Caenorhabditis elegans: one gene and its partner. The protein of the gene in region 1 interacts with the protein of each later gene in a biochemical or structural test. Each region holds a gene or a part of one and is shown in the gene's direction. Other genes may lie near its edges.

Region 1 (8,121 bases):
GGGAACAAAAATTACTTGCAAAGAACTACTCTGCTCTTGTTCATGAGTTCTTGGAAAAAATGGGAATTGACCAGGAGAGAATGGAACAAAAAGCGCAAAGGTTTGAAGAATTTCAGAAGATTACTTGCAAAAGGAAAACCAGAATCAGTTCTTATAAGTTGAGAAGAGACAATGGGATAACAGCTCAATAAATAATTATTTTAAGTATTTTTAGATACAAAAATGTTTACATTGAAGTTAAATACTTTATTACTCTCGAAATTTATCAATCGATCCTTGAACTTTTTTTGTTCCGCAGAGGTTGGCGGAGTTTACAAGCGTACGGAGTGGTTCAACTTTTATTTAAAGTTCTATAAATGGGGCATAGATGGATATTTCAAAAAAAAAAGCAAAAACCTCACAGCCCCGTCCTTCTCCGCCGAAAAACGCCGTTTAAGGATCGATGGCTAAGTTTTGGCAGTAAAAAACAACATAGTCATGATGAGGCGTGGAAAACACTTAACTACCGCATGTTTCCAAAATCCTCGTTACCCCCTTACGATTTGTTCAGAAAAAAAACAATTCTTACCCACTTAGGATTTTTTTGAATAAAAAGGTTCTGTATTATTTAATCAACAACAATTAATTGTACCTAAAAATTATAACGTTGATAATAGACTCTTGTATTATCGAAAAATACGATCGTACTAATTTCTCATAATTTATTTTTGATCTACCTGTTGAACTGGACTCGGCTCCCAATCTTGTTGCCGTTTTTATTTTGTTGTGGCTGTCTTATCGAAGGAAGGGGCGGAGTCAAGTTCAACAGGTAGATCAAAAATAAATTATGAGAAAATTGTGCGATCGTATTTTTTCGATAGTATGATAAGATCTTATAAACTCAATCAATATCTTCCACAAAACAATACTTGTCACATTCTGACATCAATTATTCAATGCCACCCAGCTTCGTTTCATCTTCCGCCACCTTAGAGACGTCACCTGCTTGGATGTACCAAGTCTGCGTTTCTTATATTTTCATCCACCCGATTGTTCCCAAGCAACACACATCCTTCAGTGTTCGGTAGGCGTTTATTGGCCTGTCTTGTTCCAAAAAAAGGAGAATCGCAAAAACTGAAGTTTCATTTTTTGCTATATTATTTATTCAGAAATGTTGTCCCTATAATTTATGTTTTGTTATTTAACAGTAGTCACTCTTATCTCTGCCTTCAAAACTTCCCTCTCTAAATATCCAGCGCACTTTTCCAGCGTATCATCAATTTCTTGATAATGTTTGAGATCCTGAAAATTTAAAATTTAACTTCTGGCGCATATAAGAAAACTTGAATTCTGTAAGAACGCGTTCAAGAACCCACTAAAATGTTACTTCTGTGTTGATTTTGGAAATAGTTCGGTATTGTGGAAAAAACTTAGATTAAGAAGTTTAATCTGATTATTTATCAAACAATATAATATTTTAGTCAAAAGATGCCAGCCGTATATGTGTCTACTGACAAAATATGACTTTAAAAAACCCCTTTAATCTTAGCGATACAGAAGTGGTTTTAATCAATTTTCCGCTGGTGCTAACATAAAACATGCATAACACTTTTTATGTATTTGTAATTGTGCGTCACGCATGTACATAGATCATTTAAATCAATTCAACTCCATTTTGCTTGTCACCTATTCCCTCACTCAATTTCGTTTTTTAACCAGAAATCCCAAACGAACATTCATAAAATCCCGATTCTCTCTCAACGGTGCCCTTTTTGTTCACATTTGATACCAATTTGAATAATCTCTTTCCTTCTTTTGGATCCTGTTCACCTCAATTCGAATTACCTTCCTCTGATGCCATTATCGATTTGTTCTCGTGTTTTGATGTGATACTGAACAGACCCCTTTGCTCACTTGCGTCGGACGATGCTTATTTTGTTGAGAAAAATTGAATTCCCAACAATAAAAATCGATTCTTTGTTTGACTGTCAAAAACGTCCAGCCTGGTTAACACGTAAGAGATGCACCTTTCCTATTTGCATTCCCCTCCCCCTTTTTATTTTTTTTCAAAATTTGTGAACCATCTTCGAGAACATTCTGTGATCATATTTAACGTTTTGAAACGTTGCGTTTTCTTTTTTGTCCTCAGTAAAACGTGGCAACCTCAAGTCTACTATCAAACATGTTTTCCACAGAAAAAGAATATACTGAACAATGAAACATATTTTTACTTTTTAAGAAGTGTTTTTGAAACTTGATGCTTCTGTTCCATCTATAGCGGAAATTCTAAAGTTGCTACTGCGATTTGGAGTGCCTCCGTCGGAGCATGTCGGAGCACGTATCTTTGTGCCCGCGAAGGTTTTCAGGATGACATGACCTTTGATGTCACAAAAAACTTTTTTCTGCGTACCTCTAGGAGAGTTGGGACCCTTTTAATAATTTCAGTTTTTATAGTGTCCAATATTGTCACGTGGCATCATAGGTCGTACTTTCTCAACTGATTAGAAATACTCATCAATGATATCATTATCAGTTCACTGAATTGAAAAGTAGCCGCATCACTTTTTGTTCCAAAAAAATTCTGTAAGTTGTTTTTGACTTGTTGCACTCTATTTCTATTAGGCGTCAAGTTAGAGGTAGGAATCCGTCCAACCTCTGCCTGCTGCGTACGTGCCTATACCTACGAACCTACCTATCCGGCGTCCGATTTGGAAAATGGGAAATTCGGGATTGTTTTTTCATATTGCCGGCATTCTCAGAGTTCGGTGAATTATTATGAAATTAAAAAAAAAAACAAAATAAATATAATTAGTGATCAAGTTCGTAGAATGTCGATCCACGTAAAAAACCTACCCATCGATACATTTTCTAATGTAACAAAAACAGCCGCGGGAAGTCTGGCGCCTATTTATATTTACGTACCCGCCTGCTTGCCTACATGTGTACCTTCATGATTGTCGACCTGCTCTCATACCTACCTGCAAGCCTACATACCTATGCATACATAAATCTTTTTCTCAAGAAATGTTCAAAAACATTCTGTGATGACCCGTCCTTATGCTATAAACTGTAAAAATTTCCGTGCTGTGTCATCCTCCTTATTCTTGCCAAGTACACTATTTTGTGTTCAACTGACCCTTGGACATCCCACAAGGGCAATTCTGTATTGGTAAGGAGGAGGAGCACACTGCCTCCCATCTCCAGTTACTCGTAAAACCGATATTTGTATGAAGAGACGATGAATAGAGCGTCTTACGTACACAACCTTGTCATTGCTCTACTTTTTTCATCATTTTTGTTTATCCATTCAATCTGTAAATGTTTTGCATAATTTTCTGATTTAAAAACATCTCCGATTATTCTTCTACATTCTCCATCTTTATTTGTTTCAGAAATGGCTCCAAGAACATATGCATCAGTACTTACCACACCCAGAGGTCCAGCCCCCCTTGCACTATATTGTCCTGAAGCTCCAGAATGCCCAAAACTTGAAGCCATTTCAAATTTGAGCTTTCAACAGATCACGCAGCAGGCTGGAACTTCCAATGATCAGGGATTCGAATTTGAAAATACATACGTTGAGCACAGAGTAAGTTTGAAACTCAGTAGTTTAAGAAAACAGTTACTCAACATTTGGGCGAAACTTTCTACCAAACTTTAGCAACTTTCAAATTTTATTCGTTTACAACCTCGTGCCAAAATTGCAAAACTCTTGCCAAACTGGCAATTTTGTTTAAAAGCGTATCTACCAACTTCCTTTTAGCCAACTTGGCAACTCGTCTGAGCACAGCTTTTGATAAATTGTCATGCTAGAAGTTTGCCCCCAAATGTATGATTCTTGATAAATTGAATTTTATAGTTAAAACAATTACATTTTCAGATAAATCAAGAAATCGAATCCTTCGTCGACACACATCATCAAGAACCTCTTCGAAAGGCAGCAGCTCAATTCAGAGCGGTCATGAAACAAGAATATCCAGGTACAGAGTACATTTTATAAAAGCTTAATACCAAAAGTCATTTTGAGATTCGACATGCTTCATCACTGGATCATATCCTGCCGGAGTTGACATCTTCTCCTCTGATATTGATTTTACCGTCAAGGTTCCAACTTTGGAAGGTGCAAATCCATTTTTGAAATTGATGCAGTTGAGAAAAGAACTCAGCTGTTACTACACAATCTTCTCGAAGGCTTATGTGCAAAAAGGAAACGTACGTTTTTTTCTGAAATATTTGAAAATACAAAACTGCCTGCCGACTTTTTAAAATGAGCTCTTAACAAGTTAATAGAAACAAAACATAATAATAAATGTAAACTACAAAGGCATGCAGATATGTCTGCTTAACATTTCTCCCGCACAAAAGTGTAGATACATCGATATTGGGGATTTTTTTAAGGGCAAAATTGAGAAAAATTTTCAAACTAGAAGATTTCCAATTAAAACCAACCCAGTTCTAACCGGTTTTCAGCCGTACTAATTTCAGCGGAAAATATTATCCCGATAAACTTGTATTATAAATAATTTAAAAAAGCGAGTTTCAAAATTTAAATTTATTTTTTAAAAACTGGACCAATTTTCAGATTCCGGTTCTTCAACTGATGCATGCGGAAACAAAAGTATCAATTGATGTTACAATCGACAATGATACCTCAAAACGGAACACTCAGCTTTTGGCATTTTATAGTCAATGTAAGTTAACTCTCTTAAAACTTTATGCAAGATGTTTCTTGAAATATATAAGTTTTTTCACCTCGTGGCTTAACTTTAATAGCTCACAAATCTGTTCTAATTGGTTTTATCAAAAGGAAAAAAAATCAGTTTTTTAATAGTTGATTATTTTCAGTAGACACAAGGTTTCCACTATTGTGCAAAGCGATGAAAGCATGGGCGGCAAGTTGTGGAGTCGAAGGAGCCAGCAGAGGACGGCTCAACAGTTTTTCCCTCTGTTTGATGCTCATCCATTATCTTCAGAGTATGCACAATTTACTACAAAACATACAAACTTTAAATTATGGTTTTTCCAGCGGTTCAAGTTCTTCTAAACATTCAAGAAATATTTCCCGAGTTGAATGGTGATATAGTCGTGGAGGATGACAACTATATGAAAAGAGACTTGAAAATTGAAATTCTGGAAAAAGGAGCATTCGATTTCAATCAGAACACAAGCAGTCTAGCTGTGCTTTTCATTGGATTCATGAAGTATTACTCAGAGTTCAAGTGAGTTTTGTTTATTCTTATATTTCTTTGATTTTTGTAATCATCATTTACTATATATACAGTAGAGTTTCCTTCCGTCCAATGTAGGCAGGTTTTCATTTTCAAAAAAATCAAATTAATTTCAAAATTTCAATGTTATTTTCAAGGGGTATTTGAAATTTATTCCAACCAGTTGGATGCGCCGGAGGCGCGGTCAGCATCTGGTCTAATATAATTACTTACCTGTTTAAGATAACTGAAAATCATAACAAACAACTCCCAAAAATTGTTTAGATTTTACAAATTTTCAATCAATTATTTTGCAAATTGCCACTTTTTTCTGACAAACTAGAGCATTTTTGCAACCCCTGAAATGTTTAACTGAAAAATAAAAATACATAACTAGTTACATGTAAAAAATATTACAATATAAAACTAGTACAAAATTTTTCGATTGATTATGTTAGATGAGTAAGCACCACTTCTTCACTGTAAAATTAGTTACATATAATTCATTTTAAAAAAAATCAGAAAATTATCGTTTTTTTTTCGCCATACTGAAAGAGAATATGAGAATGTTATGTAATAACTCATGTTTTACATTTCAGTTTCAAATGGAATTGGATCTCGATTAAACATGGAAACGTGTTGAAAAAGAAATGGTCAAAGACAAGAGTTCCAAAAAATGGAATGCCAAAGGATTGCCGTTTTATTGTCGTCGCGGATCCATTGTTGGAAATTCCGAGAAACTGTGCTGGAACCGTCCGTCAGCAGAACTACATGGAAAGAATTCAACTCGAGTTTAGAGAGGAGTACGAGCGAATTCTGAAGAGAAAGACAATTTTCAATCTTTACCAATGCAATTGGAGTAGAAAATTGAGAAAAGAGGGAATGGAACGAGATCTTCAAATTATGATTCTTCAAGATGAGCTTCGCAAATTAAGAATTGCTAATTTGCCGACTGAAGAAGAAGTTCCATGGGGTACAGTCGTTGATTTCACAAGTCCTCGAACCTTTTCACCTACAAATCAACACCCAAAGGTCTTCTGGTGTTCAGAACAAACGACTGAAAATCAAAGAAGAGATAATTTATGGCCTGAGCTACTTCGTACAAATCCATATGCGATATTTGAAAATTTGATTTGACTTTATTAATAATTGAGTTGTTATATAGGGTTTTGCAAGTAGAAATAGTTATAATCAAACATTTTTAGGTCGGTAAGTGACAATCGATCACTTTTAATTCAACTTGTAGAACTCTATGTGAATTTAATAAAATATATTAATAATATCCGTTTCGTTTCACATCAAAACTGTCTTTGAAAAACGCGAAAACAATTTTCCTGGCAAACTGAACTATAATAATATGTAAAGCTAGTAATAGTTTAAATTGTTAAAGAAAAAACTGTTTTTATTACGAAATTAACACAACATAGTCTTTATTTTTTTAGGCGTGCGTACCTAATAATTTTTCACTACATGCATACCGGGGCTCCGACTAAAAAATAATTATGAACCAAAAAACAAAACCGAAATAATCAAAAAAGTTCGTTTATGGATTTATTTAAAAAGCTAAGTTTTTTTTAGCTCAAATGTAAGTTCTACGGAATGAGAAACTTTCAAAAACTTTTAAATTTTAAAAATTAAAAAAAAGCGAATTTTTGGTGAACGGCCAGAGTCACTAATTTTGGTACACTTTTTACACTTTTTTTACACTTTAAAATACACTTTTTAAAAACTTTTTAACTTTTAAAAAAATACATACGCAACTACATTTTAGGAAAAAAACTTATAAAACTTATAAAAACCGAAATTTTGCTTTAAAAAAATTGACAAAATACCAAAGTCGTTTAAGGTAAATACGAAAAGTTACGTATCGACAGAGTACCGAAATTCGGGAAATATTTTTATTTGAATCCAACTTTGCCCCTGAATCCGAATATCTATTTGAAAAAATTCTAAAAATTTCCCTGATTTTACATTTGAGCTTGAAATCGCGAATTTCATTTGCGTTAATTTGCGTTAATTTGGATTTTGAGTAAGTTCTAAAAAAAATCCCTTAAATCCAACAGAAGATTACTACTCAACTGTTGATTTTTGAGGGGTTTTCTCCAAAAAACATTATGAGAAAAAGCTTGTATTTCTGTGGAAGAGTTGTATTTTTATTGGAAAGCACATCAAAAAGAGTGACATTAAGAAGTTAAATATAACCAGTTCATCAAGAAAAATCACAAGATTTAAAATTCAAATTGAAATCTCTAAAAAAAATAATTAAATACCCATCGGAATCTACAGGAACATAAATTAAGAATCACTAAAATCAGTAAAGACCCGTTTTTTGAAAGAGTTGCCAGCCATTCAGTCAGATATTTGAATCTTAAATGATTTCATAATTTCTGCAAATCGAACACTTCATCCTCATCTTCATCATCCGATTTATACAATGGAATTCTTTCGAATCCTCCTTTCGATCCCATTCCTGGAAATAAATGGAATAAAATCAGCTAAAAATAATTTCAGCATACCATTAAAGAAACCTCGCCGATTCAGGACGGACGTTACTCTTTGACGACACATAAATGTGCAGCAGATAATCATTAAAATTGATGCAATTGTGATTATAACCATATTTGATGATTGTACTCCAACAAATTTTTCAACAGTTGGAGTTCGATCTGATATCTGAAAAAAAAAACAATAATTTTCAGCGAGATAAGGACATAGAATTGTTCCAAAAACTGCTGTTTAAAAACTTTTGATGATAAACATATGGAAAGCTTTTTAAAAAATTTATTTTCTTGGAAAAAGGAAAAAAATCTAACACAGAATAAAGCAATGTTAACCACCGCCCATATATTGGTTTCTTCGTTTTCAAGAAATTTTTCAAATCTTTTTTTTTCCTTTTCGAGTAGCACACACAAAAACGAAAGGTTTAACATTATTT
Region 2 (8,743 bases), on another chromosome or scaffold:
GTGGGCCTCTCATGCAATCACAAAAGTGCCTAATTACACGTATAGCCAGTTGTCAAGGCTAGTGAGCATTTTTGTGAATGCTTAGATGGCTCAAGGCTTTGTATGGTAAAAAAACAAACATTAGCTTTTGGGGTAATTGAGAAACGGGAAACACGATGAACTTGGTCCCAAGTGTTTCAGAAAAAATTGGAAGAAAAACCTCGTCTCAAAAAGTTCTTAAGAAAGTTCTCGCAAACTTTTACATTGTGTCAGTGAACCCAATAAAACTTCCCCTCATAAAATCTTGATCACATCATTTCAACACTTTCACCCCATCATGTCCTTCCGTTGATTTTCATGTTTTATGTTGGTGTTAATGAGCCGATCTCCCAGATCACTTCTCATAGATCATAAAGAAATGAGAGAGCACAGAGAAAGGACCAATTGTTTCAATTCTATCTTCTGGGCTCATCTTGTTGGCTGGCTGCCAGTCAACCAACCAACACACATTTCAATGAGTGGAGATCTCCTCCTTCTTTGCTTTCATTCAATGTTTATACATACATTTCATTTCATTTCAATTTAATCACACACACACACATACATATCGATGATTTCCCCAGTGTGATTACGTGGAATTAAAATCACATAATTGTGGTTATTACCTGGTAGCTGGGTGTATAAATCAATTGAAATTCTCCCTTTTGTGTACAACTTCTTTTCAAAGTATTTTAGTTCATTGTGTTTTTCTGAAAATTTAATCTGAGGAGCATATTCTCAAATTCTATAAAATTCGTATTTTATAATCTGTTTTAATTTTCCTCCAAATTAGAAATTCATCCAAACTCTCTTTTGTTGAAAATTAAAAAAAAAGTATTTTGTTACTTTTGAAACAAATAGATTATTATTTTCAGGATATCTAGTTGCATTGAAAGGCTACCCAGCTGTTTTATTTCAAAAATTTTTGTTCTGAAATATCTGACAATGACATCTGAAAATGGTAAATTGCGAACAAGTCACAGCTAGTTTAGTTTAGCTTCGACATTAGAGAATAAAAAATTATTAACCAGATACCAAAAATATCTCTTTGCGACCTTAAGAACTGTAGTGTACGGTAGAATTTGTAAGCATTGTTAATTGGAAAAATATGTTCTTTGACATCCAATTCTCGATCTTTTGTAACATTAGTCCTTGAACTTCTCTGTTAGGGGGTCAACCGGGCTCCTTGCTTGCTCCACCACTTTTTGTGAGAAACCGTTCTCTATATCTCTGTGCTCGACGTCAGTGGGAATGAAAACCCGAAGACCGATGAGTTTATCACAGTGTTTATCAAGATGCTTTCCTTCTGTCTCTCTCTCCACTTGAACACTCTTCTCGAGACCTCATACCACTTCACCCCACTTTTAGTTAGTTTTTTTTGTCCGCTCACTTGTCGATTTCTGTGTATGTTTCTACTTGTCACTATTATCGTTTTTGTGTCGAAATAGTCTCTAGTACCCACCCCAGGATCTCATAATATTGCTCTCATTCTCGTTAACACGAAAATAGATATCTGCCTTATAATAGTGAGATCTGTGGTTTTATTTACTTTCGGATATCCCTCACTTGTGATTTCTATCATGATACCTATCGGGATTTTGGGGAGAAAAGACAGTTTGATAATGATCTTTTCTATGCTTTATCCGCTTTTCCTGCCTCCGATCAATGTTTGCTAGCCCATGTGTGTAGGTGGATTCAAACATTTGATTTTATACTTCGTCATCATCAAGAGCCATTGCAACATGTTTCAGTGAGATCAATTTGCAACTCTTTGTTCAACTAGTCATGATGAAAAATTTTCGATCAATATTCTTTAAGCAACTGCCATTTAATCTGACCATAGCAAATTGTGTTTTCCTCTGGATCTCTGCGGTGTTTGACTGTGAGCCATAAGTCAAGTTGCAATTTGTTGATATAAATAACTGATAGTGAGCTCTTGGTTTTAGTTGTCATGTGCCATTTTCCAGCCCACCAGTTGAAGAAATTTGTTAGTTGAGAAATGGTAACACTTATTCTGAAGCTCTTTTGCGAAACGGGGAAAATCTTATTAATTGATAGCCACATAGTTTCGACCGAAACGTATTGAACTATAATTTTAATTTTATTAGATGTATCAGTGAATGTTAACGATTAATTAAATAAAAGTTAAATGAAAGCAAACATTTGTCTTTCAAAATAACATCGAGATTTAAGCGTATAAAAACTTGAGTTTTTTTTAAATTTTTCTACTGTTATGGCTTGAATCTTAACAAACTCATAGACCAATTATATTATATTAAAATTATAATATCTCAATCTTTGCATTTCTCATTATATAGGAATTTATCAATTTTAGATGTCACTATCATAGTCGAGTCAATTGAGATTTAACATGACATATGTCAAGTCCGATTAAAGTTTAACGACAGTGTTTATGGTGTCAACAGGATTATTTTGAGTACCAACTTTCCCGATGTGTCGACTATTAAATTCTCAGTTTCTCTCTAAATTCCCAGCACATGATAAAAGTAAAACGAAAGTATCTGTTTCTAATCCAAGTGCATCATGAGCCACAAGATGGGATGCTGGGAAATTTATGACCCCCCATCGAGGTGTGTTTCTCGTTTCTTTCTCTTCTTTTTATTACCTTCAAGCTTTTTTATTACTTCCCAGCTCTATTACTATCAAAAACTTAAAACCGATTTTCTAGAGAACGACACGATTGCTCATAGCTCACTAGCGAGCAATGAGTATCAAGCTTGGAGCTCGAGATAGAGCCCTTCCATCTCCTTCTGGCTCCTCAAATACCCCATCCACTTCATCTGATATGATTCGCTCATTATTATTCACTTCAAAAGAACGAAAAGTCCGTTCGACATACACGGCTCCTCCACCAAATCGACAACACTCGCCGGGAGTTGTATCACAATTGATTAACAAGATTGAGTTGAAAACGTCACCTACAAATACATCGTCAAGACCAAAAAAGAAGAAAAAGGCTCCACCACTTGCTAAGATTGATGATCTTGATTTGGTTGATGATGAGAAAACTATCGTCTCGGAAGTTGTAAAAAGTCCAAGAAGGAAGAAATATACAGGAAATCCATTAGGAAATTTGAAAATTCTGAACAACATTCTCCCTTCCTCCAAAGCTTCTGATGATAAGGAAAATTCAGGAAGCCAGCAGCAACCAAGTACGGGGAAAAAGTTGAAGAAGAGCAGAAGTAAAAGTCGTGTGGAGCCGGAGTCTGAGGCACCATTTCGATTAAAACGGACTTTAACTGATCTCACAAATAATCATACACCTGCCGGATCCACATGGCGACAGATGGTCTCAAATGCGCTCGGTGGTCCACTTAAAAAACGGCTCAGCGAGGGGGCTCTCCTGTTTCCCGGCACCAGCAAAGCATCAGATGATTGTAACGACGAAGAGGGGGATAATACTAAGACGACAACGAAGCGCAGATTTTTACAACGACGGAAACAAAGCGAAAAAAGTGCAGGAGGCGCCAACGGAAAAGAGTCCGGTGGTGGTTCCGCCTCTTCATCGTTTTTTGGAGCTCTTATCAGATTGTCCCACTCGGCTGCAAGTTTAACGTCTTTAACTTCACTTGGTGGTTCAAAATCTCGGTCTGCATCTCCATCACCATCAAGTTCTCGATCTAATACTAAAGAATTCAAAGAGAATCTGAGCCCACCTCAGCCACCACCACCGGATCTCATTGCACCAGCTGCAGCATTAGCCAGACCAACTTTTTCCCTTGCGGCTCCTGATTCCCCTGTTTCACTTGCTCCGCCATCTAGGGAGCTCAGAAAATCCAAAACGTGTCAAATAACCACCGATCGTCCACCTATTATTCCTAGTATTACTATATCTGAAAGTCGAAGTTTGAACCGAATCGATAGGTGTCGGCCGGTCACTGTAGATGGAAGTGGTCTATCATCTGATTGCCGACCTCTTGTTTCACGAAGAAGCACAATGAGCCGTACAATGTCACTGATTCCAACTAGTCCATCGCTTCCGCCACTTTATGAGGAAGAAACAGCAAGTACAGCGGCAATGGTGGAAGAGGAGAGAGCGGATCGAGCACAGAAGCGCAGAATGCGAAGGTACGGCGGATCAAATACAACAAGTACTTATCAAGGAAGGAAAGATGTTGCACCGGATGCTTCGCCGAGAAGACATCTTATTGGATTTCTACATAGGACGTCACATCTATCCTTAACCTCTGAACTTAGTGCAGATGCATCGTTTTATTTGATCGGTAGGTAAATGATGGCGAAAAATGATGTGATCAAGTAAAGGGTAATAGGTTCAAAAAACAAAATCTTATGAAAATTTGAAAAAGCATCGAATTCTAAGTTTTCTTAAATTCCAGGGCACCGACGACATCTCGAAGAATCAACAATTGGCTCCGAATCCGATGCAAGAGTATTTTCAGATGATGATGATAGGTATGTTTTTTTTTTTAATTTTATAAACATAGGTTTCATTTCATTGAATTTTTATGTAAAGCCAGTACTCTGGTGACAGTGTTCCTTTCAAAATTTAGTGTATTTTATTCGGCAAATTTTTATTTATAAAAAATTAAAGCAAAAGTTTAAGTTATAATAGGGCTACATTCAGGTCTTGCAGGGCTATCTCAAGGAATATGCAACATTGAAAAAAATTTACATTCAAAATATAACAACTCATAAAAACAAAACCAAGTTTACGAATAGGCAATACCCCTTTGAAATTTTAAATTTTAAATATTTTCAAAAATTCGATGGTTTTCATTTTGCCTCTCAAATAGTTAATACCTTTTTTTGTGTCTTCTCTGTCTGTCACATAAAGTGACAAATGACTAGGCTTAAAGCGGGCCTTCATCCCCGCTCACTCTGCCCCCAATGATTTCGCCCTTCCGCTCCTCAAATAGTGAAATGAGCGGCTACATAACTGACGATGATTTCGCAAGCTCTGATGGTAAAGCCTATTATTCAACAACTTCCACTTCAACTTCTGATTATTACTATGCAATTGGAACAGCTCCGCCGAGCAGCACGGGTGCCACAACTCGCGACGTGTCAGTTCATTTATTCTGCGATAAGACACAGCTCGTTAAATTTGAGCAATTCCTGCTTGGCGCTTATCTTCTAGCTAAAGCCTGGTAGTGACTATCACAACAAGCTCTTAGTGTTGTGCACTATTTGAAGGAAACTAATAAAAATTGGGGAGGGGAAGAAAAGGACGTGAGAACGGGTGGAAAGAGATGGATGAGAAGTGGATAATTGCTTTCGATAAATCTTTCAGTTCTTTTCGGATTTTGTGGAACAAACTTCTAGGTTGTAACTTTAAGGAATTTGAACATTTTGTTTTGTGCAGTGCTCCGCTTATATTTAGAATTTCACGGAACACAATTCTCATTAGTTTTCCTTTTTTAGCTAGTGAAAACCATGTAAAATTTTAGTTGATAACGTTCAAAGTTACTCACGAGTTGCAAAAATCACTGAAAACCACAGTAAGATTTTCAAAAAATTATGAAATTTTTATTTACAGTCCAAAATGGAAATTAACCAGTTTTCGCTTATCATAAATTAATAATTCGATTTTAAAAAATTTCTACAGTTTTTTTTTAAATTTTAAAATCATTTGTATTTATTTTGTGGGGCATCGAATATGCAAAGCTTCTTTAAGTTTCTCAATAAGACTCAATTTTCAAAAGTTGGACTGAAAATTCTGAAAAATCTATAACAATTTCAACTATAAAACGTTCAATTTTTCAGAGGCTCTACAACAACCGATTTCACATCAGTATCCCGACAACATGAAAAAATGGCAAAGAAAAAGAAGAATAAAAGAAATTTCCGAAAACCCTCTAGAGCATCTTCGTTTTCAAGTATCACAGGTATGACCTCTTCGAAATTAGCATAACTTTTACCATTCGAATTCCAGAGTCCTCTATGAGCCTTGATGTAATAACAGTGAACCTCAATATGGATACAGTCAATTTCCTTGGCATTTCAATTGTTGGTCAAACTTCTAATTGTGGTGATAATGGAATCTACGTAGCAAATATCATGAAGGGAGGTGCAGTGGCATTGGATGGAAGAATTGAAGCTGGTGATATGATTTTACAAGTCAATGAGACCAGCTTTGAGAATTTCACTAACGATCAAGCTGTTGATGTGTTACGGTAAAAATTATTATTTTTTACTGAGAGCTTATTCTTCAACATATGAATTTTCAGAGAAGCTGTTAGCCGTCGTGGCCCCATCAAATTAACTGTGGCGAAAAGTTTTGAAAATGGGCAAAGTTGTTTCACAATACCAAGGAATAGCAGAGAAGAGCCTGTGAGACCAATCGATACTCAAGCATGGATCCAGCATACGAATGCAATGAGAGGAATGCCAAGTATAGTTGAAGGTATGGTTTTTTGATTGGAAGTGTAGAAAAACTAAACAAAATACCTGCCTGTTATTTGATTGATCTTTTTATTTTTTGCAAAATTATAAGCTGCACTCTCAACCTATTCAACTTCAGGCTGAAATTTATTCAGTGCATTTCTTCGCTACTTTCAAGTTGATGTTTTTCAGACTTCTGATGTTTTAGGATATTTTAAAGTAGAACAACATTTGGAAAGCTTTTTGGAATTTTCAATTTTTTTTTGAAACAAAAATAAAAATATGAAATTTTTCACATCTCTAATTTTGAAGGCTGAATGTAAAATTAAGTCAAACCTTTTTTCTGCACCAAAATTTTGAAAACAGGTAGGCAGGCAGGAAGACAGCCTCGATGTTGTTTTTTGTTCTTCTTCTACGTTATTCTCCTACAAATATCTATTAATTAAAAAATTTTTTCCAGAAAGTGCACCGACACCAATTCCTGGTGAATGGCCTCATGGTCGACCGCCAAGCAGCTCAACGGTGACCTCAAACGGATCAAATGGTCAAAATACAGTAGTCGGCGGCGGAGCTCATATTATTCTTGATATACACACTGACAAAAAGAAGGTTGTCGAAATAATGGCTATGCCTGGCTCTGGTCTTGATATCAAAAATCGAACATGGCTCAAAATTCCGATTCCCATGTCGTTCTTGGGTAAGTTTTGAATGAACGTGTAGAGCCTATTCTAATTCTCAATTTTAGGATCTGATCTGGTCGAATGGCTTTTGGATCATGTTGAAGGGCTTCGAGAACGGAAGACAGCACGAAACTTTGCGGCGGATTTACTGAAATTAAAGTATATTGCACATGTGGTGAACAAGGTCACATTCACTGAGCAGTGCTATTATGTCCTTGGAGATGAGTGTTCAGGTAGGAAAGTATACATTTATTCGGAAAATGTCAAAGTTTTTGTATATGAAGATGGAAGTGGGTCTTTTGAAATCTTTAATGCAATTTTTTTGAACTGAAATGTTAAAAATTTGTTTTAAAAAATTATTTTTTTCAAATTATATTTTTAAAACAAATTTTTCACTGATGCACAAAAATGTCTGCCTGTAATCTCCATAGGAATGCAAAAAAGTTGGTTGCATTCAAGGCTGCCCTGCCTGATTCAAAACATGAAATTCAACCCTTCTTGTTATATCTTCTAAATTACTTCCAGACTATGCCCGATTCCGAAATGAAGATGGTGGACCCAAATACCAATGGACCATCGGAATGAACGGAATGTCTGCTGGCAACGGAAGCTCTGTGATGCTCCCACCCCCACATTTACCTGGAGGTATGGCTGGCCCTCCTGGAGCTTTTAAAGGGATGGCTCCGTCAATGGTAAGCGACGGCGAATCGCGCATGTATGTAATGCACATTTAGAATGTCATCATTTTTCTTCATGTTTATGTTTCATTATGTCTGGTAATCAATGCCAAAATGGCATAATTCAAAATAGTTTCTCTCACAGTACACCATGTACCCGGTATTACAATAAGTTCTAATTTAATATTTTGTAACTTCTAAGTCTCCAATCATGAATCAAAATTTCATATGTTCCCGGTGATTGTAATTTTGGATGTTTTTCCTTTATTTGATTATTCTATTTTTGAATCTGTCCGTCGATTTTTTGTTGCATTTCCTTCTCAAATTCACACGAATTGCGATCTTCTTCACGAGTTCCCCACATCCTTGTCTGAAATAGATGCACCCTATACTAAGAAAAAAAACGTCTTGTTTTCTATTGCATTTGCCCTAAAATTATTGTTTATATTCGATATCATTGTTATTTTCTCGCCCCCTCATTTCTCAGTAGCATGTAAATGTATCAGTCCAATGTTGCCACCCACAAGAATGACAGAATAATAAATAATATTCTGAATCAAAAGAATGTTGTTATATTTCACACCACACGAACATTGCAAAGTGAGAAATATATTATTTGAAAAATATATAAACAGGTAAGTGGATATGCATCAATGCCGGCTTCACCATTCCCACCAGCTCAATTGCAGCAACAGAGAAGAGAAGGAAGTACAACCAGTGGAAGTAGTGGCGGTGGAATTAGAAAACAGTGAGTTTTTCCACTATAAACATACAAAGAAATTTTTGTATTTTGTAAAGATATATAGCTTTTTTAAACATTTTCAAGAAAAAAATAAAATTCAAAACCACACCAAAAGAACTTGTTTCTTAAGTTGGAAAAAAGTGAAAAGTGTGAGGCACTGGAAATTTAAAAACTTTCGTCTGAATTTCTCTGACTTCAAAAGTTCCAATTTTATATAACACGGTAGACTCTAACATTTTTGACATAGTTTTTCGAAATAACTC

The links.
Region 2: the proteins of pup-3 (region 1) and dsh-1 form a complex in vitro, tested with the Caenorhabditis elegans proteins (one study listed by BioGRID).

The regions. Positions count from the first base shown.
Region 1 is NC_003279.8:5,528,963-5,537,083, reverse strand, and holds pup-3 (PAP-associated domain-containing protein), read left to right. Parts: upstream 1-2,434; 5' UTR 2,435-2,562; intron 2,563-3,371; 5' UTR 3,372-3,373; coding exon 3,374-3,568; intron 3,569-3,859; coding exon 3,860-3,959; intron 3,960-4,006; coding exon 4,007-4,191; intron 4,192-4,561; coding exon 4,562-4,670; intron 4,671-4,824; coding exon 4,825-4,953; intron 4,954-5,005; coding exon 5,006-5,198; intron 5,199-5,785; coding exon 5,786-6,323; 3' UTR 6,324-6,468; downstream 6,469-8,121. Other genes in the region: cpd-1 (Peptidase M14 domain-containing protein), read right to left, coding at 7,565-7,656, 7,703-7,859.
Region 2 is NC_003280.10:5,214,675-5,223,417, reverse strand, and holds the start of dsh-1 (DiSHevelled related), read left to right. Parts: upstream 1-2,743; coding exon 2,744-4,262; intron 4,263-4,376; coding exon 4,377-4,452; intron 4,453-4,750; exon of another isoform or gene 4,751-4,954; intron 4,955-5,763; coding exon 5,764-5,885; intron 5,886-5,932; coding exon 5,933-6,173; intron 6,174-6,227; coding exon 6,228-6,403; intron 6,404-6,841; coding exon 6,842-7,078; intron 7,079-7,126; coding exon 7,127-7,294; intron 7,295-7,586; coding exon 7,587-7,753; coding exon of another isoform or gene 7,754-7,795; exon of another isoform or gene 7,796-8,298; intron 8,299-8,373; coding exon 8,374-8,486; intron 8,487-8,743.